Pelodiscus sinensis: one gene and its partner. The protein of the gene in region 1 purifies or fractionates together with the protein of each later gene. This does not show direct contact. Links are inferred from orthologs where the notes say so. Each region holds a gene or a part of one and is shown in the gene's direction. Other genes may lie near its edges.

What was found. Proteins that work in one complex are often made in the same cells at the same time.
Region 2: the proteins of CCDC68 (region 1) and CEP170 purify together in Homo sapiens (co-immunoprecipitation; 3 studies listed by BioGRID and IntAct, counting the BioPlex papers as one, with this or other methods). This does not show direct contact. The link is inferred for Pelodiscus sinensis from reciprocal best matches to the Homo sapiens genes CCDC68 and CEP170.

The regions. Positions count from the first base shown.
Region 1 is NC_134716.1:112,343,795-112,351,818, forward strand, and holds the start of CCDC68 (coiled-coil domain-containing protein 68), read left to right. Parts: upstream 1-4,998; 5' UTR 4,999-5,018; coding exon 5,019-5,140; intron 5,141-5,171; exon of another isoform or gene 5,172-5,327; intron 5,328-8,024. UniProt on the Homo sapiens protein: Centriolar protein required for centriole subdistal appendage assembly and microtubule anchoring in interphase cells. Together with CCDC120, cooperate with subdistal appendage components ODF2, NIN and CEP170 for hierarchical subdistal appendage assembly.
Region 2 is NC_134713.1:131,575,449-131,582,506, reverse strand, and holds the start of CEP170 (centrosomal protein of 170 kDa), read left to right. Parts: upstream 1-3,986; 5' UTR 3,987-4,126; intron 4,127-6,441; coding exon of another isoform or gene 6,442-6,496; exon of another isoform or gene 6,497-6,576; intron 6,577-6,688; exon of another isoform or gene 6,689-6,792; intron 6,793-6,842; exon of another isoform or gene 6,843-6,993; intron 6,994-7,058. Other genes in the region: SDCCAG8 (serologically defined colon cancer antigen 8), read right to left, coding at 6,442-6,496.

The DNA.
Region 1 (8,024 bases):
CACCTATAATTCACTTGCATTTCTATAAATTGCTCTAGTAACTTGCATATGATTTTTTTAAGAGGATGTTAGTTACTAATTGCAAGAGAATATAGTAAGAATATAGTAAGTTCCTTGTAAAATCTTACTGAATTAAGTCGAAGTCTCTTTGGGGTCCATTGTGCAAAATGCAAAATAAATCAAAATAGTGTAGAATAAAAAGGGATGGGAAGGCCACAGTCCAAAATATAAATTTCTCAATCCTCTTTTAATGGATTTATGGGCTTGACTGATATTTTATAGCTTATATAGATGGAAATGAATGTTTTGGACAGCTAGATTTAAAAAGCAACACAAGGTTGAAACCTTAGAGTATTAGAAAATGAGCCTTATGATGACAGACTGAAGAAACTCAATATATTTACCTTAACAAAGAGACAGTTTAGGAATGACTTGATTTCATTCTAAAAACAGCTACATGGGAAACAAATATTTAATAATGGATTCACTAATTTAAAAGAGAAAAGTATAACACAATCCAATGGCTGGAAGTTGAAGCTAGACAAATTGAGGCCTGAATTTGGAATTTCATACATTTTTAGTGGTAAAAGTAATTAATAATTGAAACAATTTACCATGGGCCATGGTGGATTCTACACCACTGACAATTTTCAAATCCAGATTGGCTGCTTTTCTAAAAGATATGCTCTGAGAATTATTTTTGGGAAGTTCTATAACCTCTGTTATTCAGGAGATCAGACTAGAAGATCACTAGATGAGTTTGAGCTCTTAGCCTAATTTAGAGAATTTCACAGTCCTCCTGTGTTTGCCTCTTGTTTGTTGTGTGAGCTGTAGTTATTACATTACAGCTTCTGTTGAAATATGTGTTCCAAAGTAGCTGCACATGGGACACAAAAGATTGCTCTGGATATTTTTGTGTTTAAAGGAGCTGTCTTTTAAGAAGAGTCATGTTCAAAAATTGTGGGAGTCCTCGAGACTTAAGATATTGATTCATTAGATGATCCTACCACAGTCCTCCAATTCTAGACTGATCCAATTATACCTAAGGCAGAAATCCTCACAAAATATTTCAAATATTATGCTAGAGCCTCTTTGCTGTTTGGTTAGATATCCCATTCTTAGCTAAATGGAGTGTGGAAAAATGACTGAAGCCATCTGACTGGATGATGTGTAAGACATTAAATCCTACAATTTCCGGTGTGTGTATTCATGCACACTCTTGGCTTAGACTGAAACACAACTCTTTGAAAGTTACTTAAAATCTCAAGTGCCAATGCTGCAACGAGAGCTGTGTGTGGGTAGGGTCTTATGCTACGTGGAGCACACTGGAGGGCTGGGGCCCACGCAATAAAAAAAAATCCCCATAAAGATCAATTAAAACCACCTCTACCAATAAAAGAGATTTGGACTCCTTCCCCTATCCCAGCACTCAGCTACAGCAAGACACACAGTACTAATCTCATGTCACTGCAAGACCTCCTTGCAGTGGAATGCAACTAAACTGTCACAGTCTTAAGTACCACTTTAAAGGGACATAGAATCACATTTTGCCCCAACTCACTAACATATTAGGCAGCAATGAAGTAGTTATGACAACTGGAGTTAATGATTTTTCGCATGGGCACACTGGAGCCATCACTTTCATCTAAGATGGTTATTAATTATGCCCCCCCTAGGGTCTTGTATTTTACTTGTATATATATATATATATATATATATATATATATATATATATATATATATATATACAGGCAGTCCCCGGGTTACGTACAAGATAGGGACTGTAGGTTTGTTCTTAAGTTGAATCTGTATGTAAGTCGGAACTGGCTTCCAGATTCAGCCGCTGCTGAAACTGATCAGTTTCAACAGCGGCTGAATCTGGACGCCAGTTCTGACTTACATACAGATTCAACTTAAGAACCCCAGGCATCCCCAAGCCAGCTGCTGCTGAAACTGATCAGCGGCTGATTCCAGGAAGCCCGGGGCAGGGGCTTCCTGTAGTCAGCCACTGGTCAGTTTCAGCAGCGGCTGACTTGGGGACGCCTGGGGCAGAGCAGCTAGGGTGCTGCTGGGTTGGTCCAGTAGCTCCGCCGCTCCTCGGCGCTACTGGACCAACCCAGCAGCACACAAGCTGCTCTGCCCCAGGCGTCCTGATTCAGCCGCTGCTGAATCTGACCAGCAGTGGCTGAATCAGGACGCCTGGGGCAGAACAGCTGGGGTGCTGCCTGGTTGGTCCAGTAGCGCCCAGAGCGGCGCTACGGGACCAACTGGCAGCGCCCCAGCTGCTGTACCACAGGTGTCCGGAGCAAAGCCATGGAGCACGGGGGCAGCGGGACAGCCCAGACGCGCCGTGGCTGTCCTGCTGCCCTCGGGCTCCGTGGCTTTGCTCTGCTTTGCTCCCCATCCCCCTGGTCTGCGGACCAGGGGGACGGGGAGCAAAGCGGCGGAACACGCGGGCAGCGCCGCTTTGCTCTGCTTTGCCCCCCCGTCCCCCTGGTCTGCAGACCAGGGGGATGGGGGGGGCAAAGCAGAGCCAAGCCGCGGAGGACGCGGCCAGCTGACAGCTGTCAGCTGACCGCGCGCTCCGCGGCTTGGCTCTGCTTTACCCCCCCCCCCCGTGCCCCTGGTCTGCAGACCAGGGGGACGGGGGGGGGGGCAAAGCAGAGCCAAGCAGAGCCAAGCCGCGGAGCGCGCGATCAGCTGACAGCCCAGACTCGTCTGGGCTGTCAGCTGGCCGGGCGCTCCGCAGCTTGGCTCTGCTTTGCCCCATCCCCCGTCCCCCTGGTCTGCAGACCAGGGGGACGGGGGGGGGGGCAAAGCAGAGCAAGCCTCGGAGCGCGTGGGCAGCGGACAGCCCTGTCCGCTGCCCACGTGTTCCGCCGCTTTGCTTCCTCTCCCTGGTCTGCTGGAGACAAGGGAGAGGAACGGCCCCGTTCGTAACTGTGGATCCGACATAAGTCGGATCCGCGTAACTCGGGGACTGCCTGTATATATATATATATATTGTGTTTTTAAAATTTTGTCAGCCACCTCAAATATTTTAAATATAGATTTGGGGTAAAAATATTTTAAATACATTCCCTAGAAATGCACTGCATCTTGATTATTCTTCTTCAATTATTTATATATGCTTGACAAAGCAATGTTAACAAAATAAGACTATTTGTCACTCCAGAGCTGTAGGATTGCTGTTAGTGAAAAATAAATCGCCCTGCCCACCATTATATTTGCCAATAGATAATCTTGGAAAGGGGAAGAGTTGAATATTTAAAAACCAGTGGTTTTTCTCACTGCTGTTACACTCTCACCTGGTTAACTCAGTGACAATAGACTTTGAAACTGCCCTGCCTTTCCTGTATTTACATGCCAAACACAAAAGGGAACTGGGCACGGTTTCTCTCTGTGGTGGAACTCAGCCTCTGTGCCTAGGAGGAGAGAAGGGAGTGGTGCAGACCGAAAGCTACAAAAGAAAAAACCAAACCACAACTGCGTAAAGAAAGAGGGCACATATCCAAGACATGTTTTTATTAAAAATTAGTCAGACAAGCCTTTTATATCCACTCATACACCTGTTAAAAACAAAAGTATGTTACAACCATCATAAATTTCTATCAGGAAGGCAGCTCCCTGCTTCCTGTTTAAAAATACATCTTTACCCAGTACTGGCATTATTAGCAACATGAATGATTCTAATCACTGGGGTTTTGATCATGCAAACAGATACAGACATGCTCCATTTTACTGGGACCATTTGAGTAAAATCACAGGTGGTGTGCAACTGATGGGCTCTTATATAGCATTTAAGCTGGAAATCGCAGATTTTGTTGCATGTGCTAGAAAAAAAAGTAGAATTCTGACAGATTCAAAGATGCAGTTGTGCTGAAACAATTTGTACAGTGGGGTTGCTGAGGCTGAAAGCCATGGAACAAAACTGTAAACCCTGCCTATGATAGAAATAATTTCAAAACATGGCACGCTGCAGCACCTTCCCCCCCTACCCCCCCACTTCCCTACTTCCGGCACCCATGAAAAGAGGCCATTAAACAACTTGGCTATGTCTAGACTGGCATGATTTTCCGGAAATGTTTTTAACGGAAAAGTTTTCTGTTAAAAGCATTTTCGGAACAGAGTGTCTAGATTGGCACGGACGCTTTTCCGCAAAAGCACTTTTTGCAGAAAAGCGTCCTTGCCAATCTAGACGCTCTTTTCCGCAAAAAAGCCCCAATCACCATTTTCACGATCGGGGCTTTTTTGCGGAAAACGAATCTGAACTGTCTACACTGGCCCTTTTGCGCAAAAGTTTTGTGCAAAAGGACTTTTGCCCGAACGGGAGAAGCATAGTATTTCCGCAAAAACACTGACAATCTTACATGAGATGGTCAGTGCTTTTGCAGAAATTCAAGCGGCCAGTGTAGACAGCTGGCAAGTTTTTCAGGAAAAGCGGCTGATTTTCTGGAAAAACTGGCCAGTCTAGACACAGCCCTTCTCTTATTTTCTTCTTCCCAGTCTCCATTTTGCCTCCCATCTATACAGCATTATTTTACATCCCTGTTTCTCTTAAAGTATGTCTGTCCAACTTTCCCAGCCTCATTTCAATTTTAACGTTTCTCTCTGCACCCCTGCTTCTTCAAGATGTTTCTCTGACCAAGCCTTTCTCCTCCCTCCTATTTTTACCTACTATCTTGTCTGGCTCATTTTCTCTTCTCACTATTCCTTTCATTTTTATCCCTTCTGGGTCTTTTAAGGCCCACACCCTCACAGGTATTTGCGATCAATGGAAAATTGGAGTGTAAATACCTTACAGGAGCGTCTGGCTCTACATTCCTGAAGGAATTGAGGCCAGAGCACCCGTCGTGAGCAGTCTCCCATAGGCACGAGTTAAGGGCACATTGGGAGGATCTGAGAGAGAGAGAGAAACGCAGAGGAGCAGTTTATAGGATCTTATTGCTGGGTGCGAGCTTCTCTATCGCCTGGGAAGAGGCGCTCTGAAATTCCTCAGACTTGCCTGCAGCATTGGGATGGCAGGAGCCTTGGGAGTGGGGAGAAGGGGAAATTTATGGAATCGGAGCGCACCCAAGCGTTCCCCAAAGGTTTGGGGGGAATGGGAAGTTCTGACCCCGGGAGAAGCGGCGGAAGTAAGGTAAGAAGGTCTCGGTGCGATCAGCCCCGCGGGGCGCTGTACGCCTGCTCCCAGCTTCGCGCAGCGAGGGCGGGGAGCAGGGAGGGGCCAGCTCCGGGCTGCATCCTGCCCGGACTTCAGTGCCCGGAGAGGAGCAAGGGAGCGGAGAGCGCCTGCCCCGAGCCGAGGGGAGCCGGCGGCTGAGCGGGTAAGGAGCCGCGCGCTCAGCCAGCTGGGGAGCAGACAGGGGCATTTCAGGGCGACTTGTTCCCCTGCACGGGGGCTGCTCGCCCCTTCCTGCCCCAGGTCAAAAGGCAGCAGCTGCCTCTCCCAGTCCCGGGACTGATCCCTGGAGGCCTTCAGTGCGCAGGTGTGGGAGCTGCTGATGTTTATGCCGGCTCTCCAGGGTGGAGGCTGACTTCCCTTCCCCTCCCGTGGGATGCGAAGCCTCTGGCGTGGATGCCAGCGACTAGCACAAGTGTCAGAAAGGAAAAGGGTCTGCCCACTCCTTGGCAGGGATGCTGCGGGTGCTTACAGGGGAGACTTGCAGTGGGTGAGACTGGTTACCAGCATGGCTCTGTTGGGAGATTTAGCAGCTCTTGGTGGTGGAGACGGAGAGCGAGGAGTGTTTGATTTTTTCCCCTCCACGCAGCAGCGCTAAAGTCGAATTAAGCTAGGCAACTTCAGCCACGTCAACTGTGTGGCTGAAGTCCGAAAAAGCTTAACTCGGCCTTAGGCACCGTCTATACAGCAGGAAGTCAACTTCCCTTACACTCCTGTGAAATGAGTCACAGGAGTCAGGGTAAGAAGTCGCCCAGTTTGACATTATTTTGAAATAAAGGCTTGTAGTGTATTCTGAAATAACACTGTGGTGGAGATATAGGCTTAGGCTGTGTCTAGACTGGCCAGTTTTTCCAGAAAATCAGCTGCTTTTCCGGAAAAACTTGCCAGTTGTCTACACTGGCCGCTTGAATTTCCGCAAAAGCACTGACTTCCTACTGTAAGAAATCAGTGCTACTTGCGGAAATACTACTCTGCTCCCATTCAGGCAAAAGTCCCTTTTACGCAAAAGGGCCAGTGCAGACAGCTCAGATTTGTACATTACAAAGTCAGTGCTCTTGCGCAAATTCAAGCGGCCAGTGTAGACAGCTGGCAAGTTTTTGCGCAAAATCTTGCCAGTCTAGACACACCCACTATGTTTGCAGTGCATCTCTAGCAATGAAGTGTTGCCTAATGGTGATTTCCTTAGCATGAGGATTACTGAGATGTACAAACTAGGGCATCAGTCCTGCAAAGATTTACATATGTGCTTAGCTTTACTCATAGATGTCAGTGGCATTATTCAGAGTATGTAAACCTAAGTATGTGCATAAAGCTTTACCGTATCAGAGCCTAATTCAGCTGTGTATCTTCTCTCCAACAATCTCAATAGAGATAAAAGTCAGAGGAGCCTCATGCAATTGTGAGCCAAGTCCATCAGTGGTGATGTCCAGGACATTTACAAGCTCTGGAGAGTGAGAGGAACCTTGACAGTTATAATTATGTTTTGCTGCTGTATCTAGGGCTGATGATACTTTTATTATAATTCTTTATTTTCAGGCACTTAGAACCCTGTAGGGGAAAATACCACGTGTGCTTAACAGTAAAAGTAAATGCCTCATTCAAGTTATTTCTACTGAAGGAACTAAACTGATAACTTCAAAAAATCTGAAATAAACATCTCAGCCATAACTGTTATTTTAGCTTTTTTCATAATCTTTACTTAATATAAAGATTTATTTCAGAGCTTGTTACTGTGTCATTTCTTGTAGTTACAGGTAAGACAGATAATTGCCTTTTGATATGAGGAACTTTGCTCTCTGTGACTATAAACATCCTTATTGCACGCAAAGACAGAGTAAATATTTGTATTAGGGATGTAAGCGACTAGTTGACTATCCGATAAGCATAAGCTCTAGTCACTTCCCACTCCCCTTGCTGCCTCTGTCACATGTAAAAACAGGAGCACAAATAGCAGTGTTCACATGTAAATACAGGATTCAAACAAACTTGCTGAAACATTCATGAGAACAAAATACCCCTATAAACTTTCTGAAGATGTTAATGAATCACAATTAAAAGGCAATTAAATGTATACTGGATATAATTGACTTAAATAGCTACTCATAGTTGAAATGAATGTTTGAGAACTGTGTTGCAGTTATCACCCAATTCTAACCTGTAGCATTGAGATGTATTCTGTACTGAAAAAAAGTTTACAACCAAGGGGAAAAAGTGTCTGTGTCATGCTGGTTGTCTAAAGATTAACTCTGAATGATCCAATTTGGATAATCAAATTCATTGCTGCCATTTAAAATAACTACAAAGCAGACAGCCCCTAGACTCTAAAGCTAGTCATGTAAGAGAGATTTCAATAAGCAGTTAATAGCAGAATGTGAAAAGGATAATCAAACTATGAAGCAAAATAGGTAAACTTCAGTGGGACCTATTCTGAAAAGCTGTTTATAGCTCATTGTCATGCTTATAGGGCGAATGGTGCTTTGGACTCTTTGGGTGTGTCTAGACTACATGCCTCCGTCGACGGAGGCATGTAGATTAGCCAGATCGGCAGAGGGAAATGAAGCCGCGATTAAAATAATCGCGGCTTCATTTAAATTTAAATGGCTGCCCCGCTCTGCCGATCGGCTGTTTGTCGGCAGATCGGGGCAGTCTGGACGCGACGCGCCGACAAAGAAGCCTTTCTTGATCGGCACAGGTATGCCTCGTGAAACCAGGTTTACCTGTGCCAATCAAGAAAGGCTTCTTTGTCGGCGCGTCGCGTCCAGACTGCCCCGATCTGCCGACAAACAGCTGATCGGCAGAGCGGGGCAGCCATTTAAATTTAAATGAAGCCGTGATTATTTTA
Region 2 (7,058 bases), on another chromosome or scaffold:
ATGGGATTTTACATCCCCAAATCAAAAGATGGAAACAAGTAAAATTTAAAAATGAATCAGAAAGAAATTAGAATAAAAACACTTCATAGGAGGTGAAAATGTATAATGTACCCTATGTACTCGATCATAAGTCAATTTTTTTTGTTAAAAAAAAAATCACACCATAAAGAGCGGTGGGTCATCTGTGCTACTACTTTATTTTATTTTATTTTTTTTAACTGGGGGGAGGGATTGGCAAACCTCAGTTTCCAGCCCAACAGGGCAAGCCACTGGCACGCTAGCATGTTTTACATACCTGGAGCATCTGCAGGAACAGAGCTCCTCAGCTCCCTCTGGCTGTTAGCTGTTCTGGGTCAACGGGAATGACTGCCAGACCATTCCTTGGCCCACACTGCTTCCTGCAGTACCCATTGGCTGTGAATGGCAAACAGCAACCAATGGGAGCTGAGAGGTTCCATGCCTGCAGATGCTCCAAGTACACAAATGTCTCAACAGGCCAACAGTTTGCCCTGCTGGGCTGGGAACTGACCTCTTCTCCTGTATTTTAAAAGTCAGAATCGAAACATAAGTTTTAGAACTTTTATTTTAATGCATCTAACCAAAAAAAGTATAATAATTGAACATATATGAACTCATATGGACTAATTTCGAAGAAATGTTTTAAAATCTCATATTCTAATGCATTTAAAGTTGTAAAACCTTTCAAACTCTGAATCAGTCTCCAATTTACCAAACAGTTCATTAAACTCAGCTTCAGTCATAGCTGCTCCTGCATTGTCATCAGCAATGTCATCCTGATTGCTTATCAGCCTCCATTGTGTCACGAGCGAATGTGGTACTGTCTTCTGACCCATCAAGCATATGGCTGATGCAGCGTTTCCAAAATGATTTTTCTATAATTTCTAAGAGAATGGACTCCCACGCATCCTTGACCACTGGGCAACCAGATTAATTTTGGGCTAGATAAGATTTCCGCCTTTTGTCAATTTCACCATGCCTGACCACATCCAGTCAGATCACATTTTGCATAGCCGGTCTTTAAAGGGATTGTTCAGGCAGACATTAAGGGATTGTAGAACAGAAGTTAGACCTGCAGGTATTACAGTTCAAGTAATTTTCATTTTTTTGGTCACATGCTTCACCTTATCCAACCTATGTGCCCTGAACATGTCCCATACAAGCATAGAAGGTTTCTAGAGAAATGTTTCTCATCACTGAACACTTTTTCCAAACAGTCAATAGTACCACTTTCATCCATCCATCCCTTCACATGTGCACATATGAGGATACCCCCATGAAATGTCATCGTTTTGGACAAGGTTTTTCTTTTCAAGAAACAGAATAGAGCCTTAATCCATTGGCCATATATGATAAAACTACTGTAAAAATGGATTATTTTTCATGGCCAGTGGTTTTAATTAAGACTGTTTTTTCACCAACACTAGTTACTCTTCTTTTGCTCAGAAGATCAAATGTCATCAATGTTTCATCCATATTTCCTATTTGTGACAACTCCGATTCATATTCCTTTTGATATTTTATAATAAATCTTCGGAAAGATTCAATTTTTTTCTTCCTGGTCTCTCAGCAGCTTTTGTGCTATCTTTGTTTATTGCTGAAGATAGAGACCTTGACAGTTCACGAAGCTAGTATGCCAAACTGTTGATGTGACAAACACCTATGGCTTTTCTGACTCGTGTGTCATCTTTTGACATTTGGAGAGCACACAGACAAATTCCAGTTCTAGTGACAAGGTACGCATTTTGTCATCATTCAACAACCCAATCGTTGCGACTTTTCCAGCCCAAGAAATGAAGCAAACCTTGTTGGACATTTTTTCTTGCTTCTTGGTATGTTTTTTAGTGTTGCTTTATTTTTTCACCATTCTCCTACCTGCTTCTCATTGATGCAGAATTTTTGAATAGCAGCACAATTATTGTTTCCTTTGCATATTCAACAAATTCAAGTTTAAATGCTGCATCAAACAGATCATTTTCTTTTGATTTCAACATTCCTCATTTTAAATGCTAGTATGAAAAAATAACTCCAGCACCTCACCCCCTGTCATCTAGAGAGTTCCAGGGTGGGGTAGCACCTAGCCCAGTGGCAACACAGGCCATGAGGGGGGTGATATTCTCTGTTCCATCAAATCCCCTTGCTTGGGGCCAGTCAAGTCCCGAGGGTGCCAGACCAGTGAAGTCCAATCTATATCAAGATATAGTAGACTTCCGATAATCCGGAACCTTTGGGACCTAGGTGGTGCCGGATTATCAGATATCCCGGACTCTCAGGAGGTACTATAAGATGGTTATATATATACACACAGTATATACTGTATATAAAGTGTTTTTAACCCTTTTTATTGTAGCACAAGCACTGTTCAGCATCACACAATACCAGTGGCAGACTGATTCAGTCCCGTCCGGTTTTGCTCGGTTCAGCTGCTGCCGCTGCTGCCTTGTGACTTGTTTTTTGCCGAAGATCACTCACTAGGCTCTTCTCATTTTGATGTAAGACTATCGGGAGCGCCATACAATGCGATGCCGGACTAAGTCTACACTGCCATGATTTTCCAAAAATGCTTTTAACGGAAAAGTTTTCCGTTAAAAGCATTTTTGGAAAAGTGCATCTAGATTGCTTTCGCAGAAAAGCATCCTGCCACTTTTTGCGGAAAAGCATCCGTGGCCAATCTAGACGCGCTTTTCCGCAAAAAAGCCCCGATCGCCATTTTCGCGATCGGGGCTTTTTTGCGGAAAACAGTACTGTGCTGTCTACACTGGCCCTTTTGCGCAAAAGTCTTTCGGAAAAAGACTTTTGCCCGAACGGGAGCAGCATAGTATTTCCGGGAAAGCACTGACGATCTTACATGAGATCGTCAGTGCTTTTCCAGAAATTCAAGCGGCCAGTGTAGACAGCTGGCAAGTTTTTCCGGAAAAGCTGCTGATTTTCCGGAAAAACTTGCCAGTCTAGACACAGCCCTGGGCTATGTCTACATTGGCCCCTTTTCCAGAAGGGACATGGTAATTTTTGAAATCGCAATAGGGAAATGCGCGGGGGATTTAAATATCCCCCGTGGCATTTAAATAAAAATGTCCGCCGCTTTTTTCCGGCTTTTAGAAAAGCCGGAAAAGAGCGTCTACACTGGCCCCGATCCTCCGGAAAAAGCGCCCTTTTCCGGAGGATCTTATTCCTACTTCAAAGTAGGAATAAGATCCTCCGGAAAAGGGCTTTTTTTCCGGAGGATCGGGGCCAGTGTAAACGCTCTTTTCCGGCTTTTCTAAAAGCCGGAAAAAAGCGGCGGACATTTTTATTTAAATGCCACGGGGGATATTTAAATCCCCCGCGGATTTCCCTATTACGACAGCTGAAATTAACATGCCCCTTCCGGAAAAGGGGCCAGTGTAGACGTAGCCCTGGAGTTTTACTGTACCTTATACCATTTTAGCTTAATTGCCTTCCCATATGGCAGTAAGCTTTACCAGTACAAGCACATTCATACAGTGGAGAAAGAGGGCCCAGTACCAGGGATGTTAGATAGCAGGTAACAGAATAGTTGACTAACCCCATGAAGTCTTAGTCAACTATCCTATAGTTCCAGGGGCAGTGCCAGCAGCCAGTGTGTTCTAGCCCCACTCCCTGGGCTGCCACCCCATGCTGCTGCCTATGTTTGTACAAGGGCTTGATGGAAGGGGGGAGAGGCAGCTGGGGGGGGGGGAAATAAGCAACAGCCCTGGATAATCAGGGGCAGCTGAGACAGGGCTGCTCTAAATCAATTAAGGGGCAGGTGAACTGATTTCAGGCTGCCACAGGACCTCTTTAAAAACCTTTCCTGTGAGGGAGGGTGGAAGAGAGTGGAGAAAAAGTTTGGAGAGTGGAGGTGGAAAGGAGCTAACAGCTGATAGGCAAATCAGAGGAGCTGAGCAGAACACCATCAACACTGCTAAGGGCTGCAGGAGGAGGTGGCAGGCTCCAACAGGGAGTGTTTGGAAGCTTCCTTCCTTCTAGATGGCCAGAAACTTCAGTTGGTGGCTGAGGAGGACTGTTTACTCAGCCTGACTGGCTGAGGGCATCGGCCTCAACACCCCTTTGTTTTGCCAAAGGACAGAAGGCCAAATGCTCAGAAAAGGCAAGTGGGACTTGTACCATGTCCACTAAACTGTAGGATAATGGGCAGAACAGGGGCCTGGGAGCCCGAAGTAGGACTGACCCTACCACAGGGTTCGTTTCAGCACCACCAGACCCTAGTTGCTGCTGCTGGGGCAAGTGCCAGCCTCTCCTGAGTGAGCGCCTTAAATCCATGGGTGGGACCACAAACCGTTTCCACATTCTCTCCTTATTTTCCCTACCAACTTGAGGATCCATGCCTACCACGCATATCAAGAGGAGATGCTGTGGGTTCCAGCAGGTAGGCCCAAAAAAGTGCGACTAGGGAAGTAATGGTGTAATTAACCGATAAGCAAAAGCTCATTGGTTAATGCTATGGATTACATGCACTTCCCCTACCTCCCCCTTCTGCCAGTACTTTTTTTTTTTTTTTTTAGTGGGCTAGCCAGCAGCCGTGCTCAGTCCCAGCTTGCAGTGTCTGGGACCTACCTCACTGCAACTCTGTGTTTAAAATGTATTAGGCGCTGGGCTGGCAGGCAGGCAGCCTGGCTCAGTCACAGCTCACAAGCTGGGTTATGTGAAGGTTTAACAAGGGAGGTTAGATATTGGGTAATTGAATAGCTGTGTAACAACATAAACTTTTTGGTTAGATCTATTCTATAGTCCTGAGGGGTGGCTCCTGGGAGCCCCCTGCCACCATGCGCTGCTGCCTCCGTATCAAAGGCAGTAGCATAGGATAACACAGCAGTAGTCCCTGACTTCGGGGGTCCAACCTCTCAGTGGACAGAGGCTGCTGCAGGGGGGAGGGGGAGAAGAGAGGCTAGGAACTGAAAAGGAGGCTACCATGAAGCAACTTGTCTGTGGCAGTCAGCTGGCCAGAGGCTGGTCCAGCAGCAGCCCCTTTCCAAGCTCCCTGTGGACGTGGGCTGCTGCCATAAAGCAGCCTCTGTCCACAGCCACCTTGGGCCGCTGCAGACAGAAGCTGCTTCGCGGAACGCAGAGCAGCCTCCATCCCCCTGTGGACAGGGGCTCCTTCACAGCAGCCTCCCCTATTCCCTTATGCCGCTGTGTCTCAGGCAGCAGCACATGGGGGAGGGGGAGTGGTAAGGGGAAGGTGGCATCGCAGAGCTGGTGCTGGAGGGTGGGACTGGCTTTCAAGCTAGCTCTCCACCCCAGCTGCCTGTGATAGAGGCAGTGGGGGAGGGAGAGAATGTGAGTAGTCAAGATGAACTGAAAAGCCTAGGCTTATCAATTAATTCTATAGTCAACTACTCATTGACATGTCTAGGCTTAACCAGTTAACTGGTGGGGCTGGAATAGTGGGCTGCTCCGGACCCACTGTGGTTGTGGGGGGACTGCCACGGACAGGGGCTTCTCCAAAAGTTTCAGCTCTGGGCAGGGGGCTCAGGCTTAGCTTCGGCCCTGAGTCCCAACATGTTGAATGCCAGCATGGAGACCCTATTAAAATGGGGTCCTCGGCTACAGCTGGGTCATATTGCAGTGACTCTGTGCCTCATACAGTGCAGATGCTCAGGTTGTCAAGGCTCCTTAGCAAGTGAGAGCAAATGCACTGGTGAATTTACTGTCAACTATGACTTTGGTCTGGGGTTTGGTGCTACTAGAGCTTCTATAGTGGGGGGGGAGGGAGGGAAGGGAAAAGGAAAAGCCACAGGTAGTGCTCTGAAGATGCACTACCCCCCCCCCCCCATGTTCCCAGCCAAAATTGTAATGGCTACATGGGGCAAGGCTACATGGGGAGCCCCCACATACCCTCTTCCTGCCCCTCTAGGTTCCCTTCCCTTCATTCTCTCTCCTCTTCCCCCCTCCAGGGGAGAAGCTGTCAGGTAAACAGCTGATTTAGAGCTCTCTTTGCCAAAATTAGAGAGTAAGGGGGACCGGGGTGGAAGTTTGGTGCTAGGGGCACAGGGTGGGTAGAGTTCTGACAGCAACGGGTTCAGTCACCGGGGAGATCATAATCTGGTTCACTTGGCTCAACAGGCTGGGATGGTTAGAACAGTATAAAGGGGTGTCGGCACCAGTCTACCCTTCTCCAGTTCAATTTTTAGCAGACGTGGTGAGCAGAGAGGTGGAGAAAACGGCGCAGCCTCAGGCAAAGAAGCCACGTAGCCAATTGTGGCGGTGGGGCAGCGGCAAGAAAAGGGGTCGCACGCACACTAGTGGCCACGGTGCCAGCAGCCAGGCGGGCCGTGCGGCGAGAGGAGCTGGGGCAGCCAGTAGTGGGGGACAGTGGGCACGGCGAGAAACCACTCAGCTCGCGGGGAGCTGGCACTGCCAGAAGAAGGGGGCAGGCGGCGCTGGGACGGGGATCCCGCTCACCTCGCAGGCTTTTCTGATACCGCTCCAGGTCGGACTCTTCCCGGGCTTCCCGCATACGGACAAGGTCCGCGTCTCTCAGCGCCAGGCGACACCGCACGGGCTCCGCTTCCCTGTCCCGAGTCAGCGTGTGAGGACCCAGCCTTTCCCTCCCGGCTTCGCCGCTTCCAACAGCGCTCGGGAGCCGTAGTTCCGTGTCGTTCGCCGTCCCATCCCCCACAGCGGGCGGCAGCTCTTAGCGGAACTACGATTCCCACACGGCTTTGCGGCACCCACCGCCCCTTCTAACCTCAACCCGTGTGGGAGCTCGTTGCTAACCAACTAGGAAAACGGTCCCGTCGGCCCCCAGCTGAGGTGAGTTACTCCCTTTCAGAGCTCCGCCCTTTAATACGTCTCGTACTCACGTTGCAGCGGTCTCAGACTACGTCTCCCAGCATGCAGCGCGCGTCCTTCTCTGGGCCCTCGGGAGTTGAAGTCCCTACGAGCAACGTCCTCCCCCACTTTAGAAGAGTTGTTGCGGCCTCGGTCTCTTTCCCTTTGTATGCGGTCAGATCGCACCTGCGCACTGTGCTGCTAGAGCGCAGCTTTCTTTCCCCGCAGCGCACGCGCAGTAATCCCGG